Coturnix japonica: one gene and its partner. The protein of the gene in region 2 purifies or fractionates together with the protein of the main gene of each other region. This does not show direct contact. Links are inferred from orthologs where the notes say so. Each region holds a gene or a part of one and is shown on either strand. Other genes may lie near its edges.

Region 1 (4,985 bases), on a different chromosome or scaffold from region 2:
TTCATGCAAGGATTCAGTTGAACAGTTGAACTCCATTTTGCTGATGAATTTGGCTTGTGCAAGGAGGATGTTAACAAAAAAATCACGTTGTTTTCATTGACTAATGATGCTACTTTTATTATGTACAAATGAAATGTTCTTAATATATCCTTATAAGATATATAGTGAGAATGAGAGTGTTAAACTACAGCTTGCCTTGGTTGAGATGTTACACCACTCTTGCAGGTGGACAATGCATATTGGTTGTGGACTTTCCAAGGACGTCTGCTTCAGAAAAACAATAAGGACAGGTTCTGTCAGCTTCTGTGGAGACCACGACCAGCTACCTTGCTCAGTGAGGATCAGATAAAGGTAGTGTATTCCACTCAATCCTATTGGACATGGGTTTGGTGTGTATGTATATACAAACCAGGGTTTATCTTCCTTTCCTTGAGAATGAGGCTTGAACTGTTAGAGCTGTAAGATTGCTTTTCTCCCTGAGCTTTTGAAAAACCATATTGCCATAGTGGACCTCACTTATGGGAGTGACTGATAAATATTAACTGTTCTTTATGTTTGGAATAGAAACGGTAACCAGTTGTGCTTACTGTTGTGATATAGTGAGAGGATGTGAAGAGTAACACAACTGAACATAACCTGTCCAGACTTCTGTAATTGAATACTTACAGAGATGTTTGTTATCTGTAAGCTTGGAAGAACAAATAAAATAACAGTGGAGAGGAATGGCCTAGAAAAGCAGTTGTTATGTTAAGTATGCTAAGCATACTTAAAACTGCCAGGGAAATTCTTATTAGAATGTGATGATTGTGTTTGTTAGTCTTACTTGAACCTTAGCTGAAATAAAATTCTGTTTTACAGCAAATTAAGAAGGATCTGAAGAAATACTCAAAGATATTTGAGCAGAAGGATCGCTTGAGCCAGTCGAAAGCTTCAAAAGTAAGACTTTTTGAAATACAATAACATAAATGAAGCTCTTTTAATCTGTGCAATGTCATTGTTGTAATGGTCATATATGTTAGATTTCTTTTATTATGAACATCTGTGATCGTGTTAATCCAGGTGCTTAGACTTGCTTCCCATGGGTAGTGCACACAGATGCCACTCAGCTTTCAGGTTAAGCGGTAATGAATTTGTAGAGACACCGGTGATAGCTCAGTAAGCAGAAGTGAAAGTTTGGGATTCTTAGTTACTTGTTGTATTAGACTATTTAATCTAATAAAAAAGCCTTTAAAAACAGAAAAACAAACCCTTACCAAAGCAGCTCTTAAATTACATAAACGGTTTTAAGTCAGTGGAAAGGACTGAAGAAAAGTTTTCCTTGCTAACAAATGCATTTTGCATGCATTTTGCTTGTTATGAGTTAACAGCTTCTTGCCTCTGTAGGAGCTGGTGGAAAGGAGACGTACAATGATGGAAGAATTCAGAAAGTACCGCAAGATGGCACAAGAGCTGTACATGGAGCAAAGGAACGAGCGCTTGGAGCTTCGAGGAGGTGAGCCACATGCAGTACTTGTACGGACTTGATGTTAGATAGCTACCACTTCTTAACAAGTATCAACTGTTCTGCTAACTCGTTTACTTTTTCTCTCTATTCTTTTCCTGCCAAACTTTTTCTGGAGGTTTTGTTCTTGATTTTTATTTTCTTAAATCACAATTAATTTTGATTAATTAATTAAAACTGAAAGTGCTGGCTGCCAGACATGGCTGCCTGTGCTTTACGTATCTTCTTTCTGCTTTGAGGCGAGCCTTGGTTTGACCTTGGCATAAGAGATTTGGATGTTACGTATAGCCAAAAAAGTCCTCAAGAACTCTGTGGTGGGAGACAGCAATGCCTTATTTGTCACGCACTGACATTATACAGAATGTCAGCGATTGGAAGGGACCTTGAAAGATCACCTAGTCCAATCCTCCTGCTGGAGCAGGAACACGTAGATTAGCATGTCCTTGTTATGATTTGAAACAAGAAGTACCTCTCATTTCAGTGCTGTTTTAAGAACTGTTCCTACAAAGATCATAGAATCATTCTCTTGTTGCTGTGTTTGAGGCATTGTGTTATTCCTTTCTCCATTCCAGGGGTAGACACGGATGAGCTGGACAGCAATGTTGATGACTGGGAAGAGGAAACTGTTGAATTTTTTATCAATGAAGAAATTATTACCCTTGCAGAACCAGAGTAATCTAATAAATTGTGGTAAGGTAGCTTTCAGAAAAGAGGAACTTTACTGTCAACTGTCACTGTAAATTAATTTGTTTCAGAAGGTTGTCTGCTTGTGCATGAATGCATGTGCTGTTCTGAGTTGGTTTGCTTTGCTTTATGTGGTTGAAGTGAACAAACAAGAGCTTTCTTAAATACAGTCACAGACTGTCAGATTTATGAGCTGTACTGGGTGGAATACTGTCTACGTCCTATTTTGCAAGAGTAATGACTGCTGTGACAACCAGGGTCAACTTCTAAATGGAGCTCCTTGCAGGCTTTTCAATTTCTGCTACTGACAGAACTCTAACTTAATATAAGACTTGAAAATTTTGTTTTTTGTAAGAATTTCATGCTAGGTAATATCGGACAGGGCTTAAATAATATGCTTAAGGTTGTACAGTACGTTAACTGCGATAGAACTTGAGCAGGTGTTTAGATGTCCACATGAAATCTATGATATTCTAGAAATGATTAGAAATCTGGCAGCAGCTCCTTCTCTTGTCTAACCTTCACTGCTTGCTGCTGAAATCTCTATTTAATCCAATGATTTCCCATGTTCTGCTTTACAAATTCATATTGTATCTTTGTATGTTGAAAACAGATGCTGGTTTCAGCAGCTCCTGTAGGAAATGTTCTCTCTTTAAGGAGCTGGAAATTGTACTCAGGAGGGAAAAGAAAGTTTACTGGTGAAGGTATTCACATGGGACTTTACACAAGAATGTAATTCAGGTTTTCTGCCATGTTTAGGACTTCCTTTAAGGAAGGGGAGACTGGAAGCATGCCTTCTGCAGCTGTCACTGCACAGCTTTGTAGCCCCTGGATATCCAAGGAGTCAAAATATGGAGCTGTTTACCTCTTGTAGAAAAAAAATAATAGATTTAATATTTAGAGATTAAAATAAATCTAGCTTATCTATGTTCCATATGTGGGAGATACCTTATGGAAGGTAGAGGGAGAGAAGCTGCCTTGTTTCTGGACTTAAATACCAATTTAAGAACAGGTGAAGCACGTACTTTGTAGCCTTTCACCAGCTAGCATCTGCAGTAAGGTTGTTTGTAAAAAGCACAGCAACTGACTCATCTCTTCTTTCCTTTTTGCAGCACCATCGTAACTTGTGCTGAAAAGAGGTTTGTTCATTTCCAGAAAGTCTACATCAATTTTGGAGTTTTTAATCCATATTCTTACACTCTGGAAGGGTGGATGCACCAGATTTTCTCCATTCTGCCACACTGTAGTGCCTTTAAATCTTGCTGCCTGTTACAGTGAGATATTGAAAAGGCACTGCTTTTTAAATTTTTATTCTTTTTTTTTTTTTTTTTTTTTTTGAAGGGTTCAATTTTCTTTTTAAATCCACTAATACCAGTATTTACTTCTGACTCCTGTGCAGTACTTCCCAACTGGCATTTTTGACTTCCTGCCAGTGAAGTGGGATTCATCAGCGCACATCTCTTACCCACAATGTTTCTGTTTCAGGACTCTTTTTATGTCCCGAGTGCATGGACAGGTGTTCACTTTGTTTGGGGAAAAGTCGACAGATCCATTTTTCGTATGACATGTTTTAGTGTGCTGAAGCAGCACTACAGTGGGCTATATCCTCCTCCTTTCAGATTGTGAAAGGATGTCTCCCTCAAAGAGCTGAATATGGAAATAAAAGCAGACCGATACTAAAACCAGTCTGTCTGTGTGTTGTTGTTCCTAGGGAATCTTTCCCTAAATGATGAAATATACCCAGATTAATATGAATGTTAGCTATATTTGCTTTACAGTTGCTTTGGATTGTGTTTTCTCAGTTTCCCATGGCTATTTCTTTCTCGTGTGTTGCCATGGTTTTACTTTGTGTTTACAATGATATTACAGCTCATTATAATTAGCAGGATAATTTGTCAAGATTAATGGAGTGACTAGTAGAAAATAAATTGGTTTCTTAAACCAATTGGAATCTGATATGAGCCTTGGGAACTCCTGGAACAGTCTCACTTGGTCGTGAATTTGAAAACTGTCTGAGTAGTGTTTATACATGTGCCTTAGGCTCCATCTTATGTGTGTTACTTCATTTCTAAAGCTCTCCCTGTTTAGTGGTGAAAAGTGCACAGTTGGTGGAGCAACTTTTCAGTATTCATATCTATGAGCAGAAATTATTTTCCCTACATTAACAGAGCAATGAAAGATGTTGCTGGCCTGCTGCTTTCCTTGTGAGGGCTAGAGGGGAATGAGTATTTACCTGTCCCCTTTCCAGGACTGGCCAGTGAAATTGCTGGGTGCCTGAGCTCACTTAACGTGGTGCTTTATCTGATGGACCTGAAGTGGAAGGCAGTGGAAGGCTTCTTGAAAAGGAAACCCCTACTCAGCTGTCTGCAGCTAAGGGACATCAGCATTTCTACCAGTCACTTTTCTCTGTCCTTAGGTGAGCTTGCTGTGATCACAAATGCTCAAATCTCTCAGCTGACACTCGTGTTCCCTTCATCAGGAAGGCTCTTCAAAATTATTGTTCAATAATGATATTAACCTAAAGCATCCACAGGTCATTCTTATGCTATCAGAATTTTTCCCTAACGTCTGTTTTAGTTTCCAGTGTCTGAATTTGTTCATTCACAATCAATATGTACTTCATTGAGATAAAACTTAAATCCACAGTGCTTACCAAGCTCATCCTTCAGCTGCACTGGAGGAAGAACTTTCTGCCACAAGCAGTGCAGGACTTGTAGCATTGCCATTAACAATGTGATGTTCTCTAATACTTATCTTTATTAAATAAACCATTTAGTTGTGAAGAGCTGCCTTATCAATC
Region 2 (4,759 bases):
CACTAGATTCAAACAGTCTAGGCCCTACTCAGCGGTGCTATCTGCCTACAGCAGGAAAAGCAGATGTTTGGAAGAGCAGATCATTTATGCATACACGTCCTGTCTCCAGCTCTGTTACTGGCAGATGTGCTCTGGGGCCTCAGTTACTCTACCAGCTGTGACTTTGCTTCTGTAGTTGTAAGCAGTGTCAGGAAGGCAGAAGGTTGGGACAGTTCTTCCAGACTGAAGGTAGAACTTGGATGGTGTCAGTACCAGGCAGGAAAACAGACCCTCTGTGGGACACAGAACACCTAAAGGCTGTATCCTCTGTGGGACACAGAACACCTAAAGGCTGTATCCTCTGTGGGACACAGAGCACCTAAAGGCTGTACCTCCAGACTCTGCCTCGCTGAAAAACCGTTCTGTACAGGCATGGTGGTAGGCTTCGTTCTCCTTCTTGGAACACAATCCATGCGTGCCACGGACATCACCACAGATGGTGTTAAACACCTCCTGACCTATTTGGTTACCACACTGCCCAAGCTGGACTGTGACTATTGACATTCTAATTCACCTCGTGTTTGGCCCTAAACAAAAGAAAAGCACGATGGGGGGTTAAAAAACCGATGTTACAAAGGTTCTCTCCCCGCACAGGCCGCTCCCGCCCCCCTGGCGCTGACAGGGCCCCTCACAGCGCCGCGATCTCCCGCCCGCTCCCCACAGCCGCCATATTGTCGGGCCGCCCCTCACGTCTCTCGGCCGCCCTTCCCCTCCCAGCTCCTTCCTCCTCGCCGTTCCCTCCCTCCCCGACCTCTCATCAGGTCGATGCCGGCTCAGGGGGGTGGGTTGGGCGGGTTCCACACACTATGGCCCCTCCTCAAGGCTGACGAGCCCCCTGCCCGCCGCGCCTCACTGGGGGCAGCCCGCAGTGCGCATGCTCAGAGGGAACTCGGCGCAGTTCGGGCACAAGCGTCGGGCTGCGGCGCTTCACAGCGCGCACTACGCATGCGTTACGCACGCGGCTTCGCTGCGCAATCTACGCAAACTCCGTACCGGGAGCGAGGGAGGTGGGCTCATATTGCGCATGCTCAGCTTCAGCTCTACGCCCGCCGCCCGGCCGAGGCCCTCGCCGCGCATGCTCAGTGCGGCACCTGCCGCCGCAGGATGGGCTTGTGCGCACGCGCGGCGCCCGCAGCCGGGGCGGGGGCGCATGCGCAGTGAGGCCGGGCGGCCGTGATGGCGGCCGTGGCGGAGTTGGGGGGTGCGGGCCCATGAGGCGGCCCAGGCCTCGGGCACTCAGCGCAGCGAGGAAGGGGCGGCCACGCCTCGGCTCACACCCGCGCCATGGCGGGCGTGTTCGACATCGATCTGGACCAGCCCGAGGACGCGGGTTCGGATGAGGAGCTGGAGGAGGGGGTGAGAGAGGAGAGACCGACCGGAGCGGGGAGCGGGCGGGTGGGGGAGGCCGCAGGGAGGAGCGGAGACAGGGGGAGGAATGAGGGGGCGGCGGGGCTGGACGGGGCGGCTGTAGGCGGCTGTAGGCGGCCAGAGCGGCTGAGGCGAAGAGAGGCGGAGGCCCAGGCCCGGGCCCGCGCAGGTGAGGCCGCGCCCCGCCCCGGCTGCGGCCCGTCGAGCTCCGGCCCGTCCCTGCGGTGCTTCCATCGGTACCTCCGCTGCACCGCTCGCTAATAGCGGCCTTGTTCCGGCGGAGAGTTTTACCCTGAAATGTTCGCGGTGGGTTTTGTAGCACGAGCGTGGCAGCGGGGTTTGGTGTCACATGTGGGGACGTCAGTGCGGCTGTGCTCTCGTCTCTCTGGAGCTGCGTGCAGGCATCGCTCTGGCGCCAAAATCAAAAGCAAAGCTTTGAAATGCTGTCCGGGGTCTGAGCGTGTCCCCACATGGGTCACTCCGTCATCTGTATTTATTCTTCTATCATACTCATTTAGATGCTTTTAAGGCCCCTTCGGGTATCCTCTTGCGTGGTCGCTGTTAGTATCTAGTGTTATTTATGTTAGCTCTAGTGCTACCGTTGCTTTTATATGTTGTTGTATATATTAAATGTTTGCTAGTGCTTAAGCTGCTGCATTCCTGCTATGCTATTTGAATACCAGTCATTGGGATTAGCAGACACCCCAAAGTACAGCTGCAATATCACACTGCATGTGAGCTGCAGAGTCTGCTGGCTGAAGGCAGGGCAGTGCTCAGGCTGTGGGAGAAATGCTGTCTGCTATCCCAATAATCAATACAGGACCTGGCTTACAAACGTCGGTTGCAACACAGCACCTGCATTGCCAAGAACAGGTTCTAAGAGTAGCACAAAAATCCTTGTGGCCCAGCTTCTGTGCACAGTGGCAACCTAATGCAGTACTTAGGTGCCTCTGGGGAGATTAGGGTGGACTTGAAATTAAAACAGAACTGGGGAGAGGGGAACATGTGAGCGTGAGGAAAGTGTGAGTAAAAGGTGTTTTTTTGTAGTGATTGTGCGTATCTTAGAAGGATCTGAAGGACACTGAAATTCATCTGGGAACGCGATGGGTGTTTATTCTGTTTGTTGAGTTGGTGGCTGTTTTGAATTTGTTCCTTGTTGTCTCATGGTTGGGTCAAGGGCACATTTAGCTGGTTCTGTTGTGAAACAGATGGCAGGGGGCTGGGTTTCTCTAATAAACACTAGCAAGGGGATGTGAGCAAGCAAACCTCTGTCCTGGAATCAGACTCGAACTTCATTCAGGATTCTGGCTGTGGATTCCAGGCTGTAGATTTGAAGCTGTTCATCACTGACTCGCAGTTGCTGTTTTATGTATATATTTTTAAAACTGAAAATGTAACCTGTCACAGTCTGAAGTTTGTTAGAAGCTTGCCCATTAAATTCTATTTGTATTCCTTCCAGCTGTCTGCTTGCTTTGCACTTCTGCCATGTAGAGCCACATTTAGAGCGAGGTATTATCTTGCATTAGGGGTCCAGCTGAAAATTGTTTGAAGAAAATATGCCTTCAAAATTGAACTGCATTCTTTAATGGCGTCTGGTCCTGCTGTTGAAGTGCTTGAGCCTTTTTAGAAATATTTGTGCATTAATCTGCCTGAATGATTGTTGATCAGAAAATACATACAGGACCAGAGTGTGTTATTACTACTGGGCTATGATTACCACCAGACCTCCTGCATCAGAATTTAAGCTATGTGGAAGCGTTGCAACTCTTGGACTGTATTTTTTAGGCTTGTTGTCTTCTGCTCATAATTAATGATTCTTGATATTTAAACTTGTTTAGTTATATATACATAAACATATATGTGTGTGCACATGTAACAGAAACTATATGTGTAAACATATTCACACATGTAAAGAAGCTGTAAAAGACATGTATTTTTAACTATGCTTTCTTATGTTGCATTTAATCTTCCTTCTACTCCTGTCCCCAGGGTCAATTAAGTGAGAGCATGGACCACGGAGGAGTTGGCCAATATGACCTGTAAGTTGCTACTAAGAAAATGTTCTGTACCATTCATGCCAACTACGTATAGCCTCTACTTTGGTTACATTGTTAAGTTGAATAGGAAATTTTGTCATTCTTGTTCAGTTTGAGTTGCTTTAGTTCTTTTGCTATTTCTTCACATTAAAGTTTGTGACTGTATGTAAAAATAATAATAAAACAAATTCTGGCAAAACCTGCTGTTGTCTTTAATCCTTGTTTCTCCTAACATAGCTGTTGTGTTGTATTTGAATAATACTTGCAGTATGAGTGTAGTGCCCTCTTTGCAGAACATTCTGTGTTCTGTCGGGCTTATAGAGGCTCTGGCTGCATATTTGCACAGCAGTCTGAAGTAGATGAGAATTCAGTTCTGATTTGATTGCACAAGACAGCTACCTTTAGCCATGCTTTATGTATAGATACCCAGCTTGTTTTCAGTGTCCCACACGTAACGAGAAAGCAGCAATAGTTCAAACAGTTCAGTTACCTTTTCTGTAGCAGGGTCAGGTGTTGGCCTCACCCTGTCTTTTATAGAAGTGTAGTATGATTTAGAAACATCCTTAAGTTGTGGATCAGTCTTCTGTGGCACGTTCAGAGTTGTGACTTCTTTTGTTTTAGCTTTTTCTGCACAGTATTTGTTACAGAAGTTATATTGTGACTGTGGGGACTGCTGGATGTGATTTAAAACTCAAACACACCTTGCAGCATTGTTATCTTTTGGGAATGTCCAACTCAGCTTGAGTTGTTGGCCGTTCAAACTTAATTCTGGTACAATACAGAAATATATGATGCATTGAAATGAAGGCATCTGAAGGAAATCTTGATACAGGCAGATAGTCTTTTGTGCAAGCTGAAACATAGTGCTTTGCACACACAGAGCTGTAGTTTCTGATGCTAAAAATCCTCCTTATCTCCAAAACAGTCATTCAGATATGTCAGTTTTAGCGTGAGTTTTGCCGTAAGTGGTTTGCTTGCTTACTTTTCTCTTGATCATTGTCAAGTACCAGGTAGTCTTATATTCTTGTTTCAATTTTATCCAGTGGCATGGAACATTGTGAAAAATTTGAGATTTCAGAAACTAGTGTAAACAGAGGTCCAGAAAAGATCCGACCGGAGTGCTTTGAGTTACTGCGCGTACTGGGCAAAGGAGGCTATGGAAAGGTAAGGGACTCTTTTCTACAAAGATAAACCCCACTATACTGAAGGCAGTAAAAGTGCTCGCCTGCCACACTTGGGAAGGTCTGACCTTTCCATCCCATGTTCTAAAAAGTTCCTCCTATGCATTTCATAATGAGTAATTGCTTTTGTATTGG

What was found. Proteins that work in one complex are often made in the same cells at the same time.
Region 1: the proteins of RPS6KB1 (region 2) and EIF3B purify together in Homo sapiens (affinity purification with western blotting; 3 studies listed by BioGRID and IntAct, with this or other methods). This does not show direct contact. The link is inferred for Coturnix japonica from reciprocal best matches to the Homo sapiens genes RPS6KB1 and EIF3B.

Annotation. Positions count from the first base shown.
Region 1 is NC_029529.1:3,199,098-3,204,082, forward strand, and holds the end of EIF3B (eukaryotic translation initiation factor 3 subunit B), read left to right. Parts: intron 1-225; coding exon 226-351; intron 352-858; coding exon 859-936; intron 937-1,383; coding exon 1,384-1,492; intron 1,493-2,073; coding exon 2,074-2,177; 3' UTR 2,178-2,196; intron 2,197-3,297; 3' UTR 3,298-3,870; downstream 3,871-4,985.
Region 2 is NC_029534.1:6,133,894-6,138,652, forward strand, and holds the start of RPS6KB1 (ribosomal protein S6 kinase beta-1), read left to right. Parts: upstream 1-1,156; 5' UTR 1,157-1,323; coding exon 1,324-1,395; intron 1,396-3,396; coding exon 3,397-3,446; intron 3,447-4,486; coding exon 4,487-4,607; intron 4,608-4,759. Other genes in the region: TUBD1 (tubulin delta chain), read right to left, coding at 372-543. UniProt on the Homo sapiens protein: Serine/threonine-protein kinase that acts downstream of mTOR signaling in response to growth factors and nutrients to promote cell proliferation, cell growth and cell cycle progression.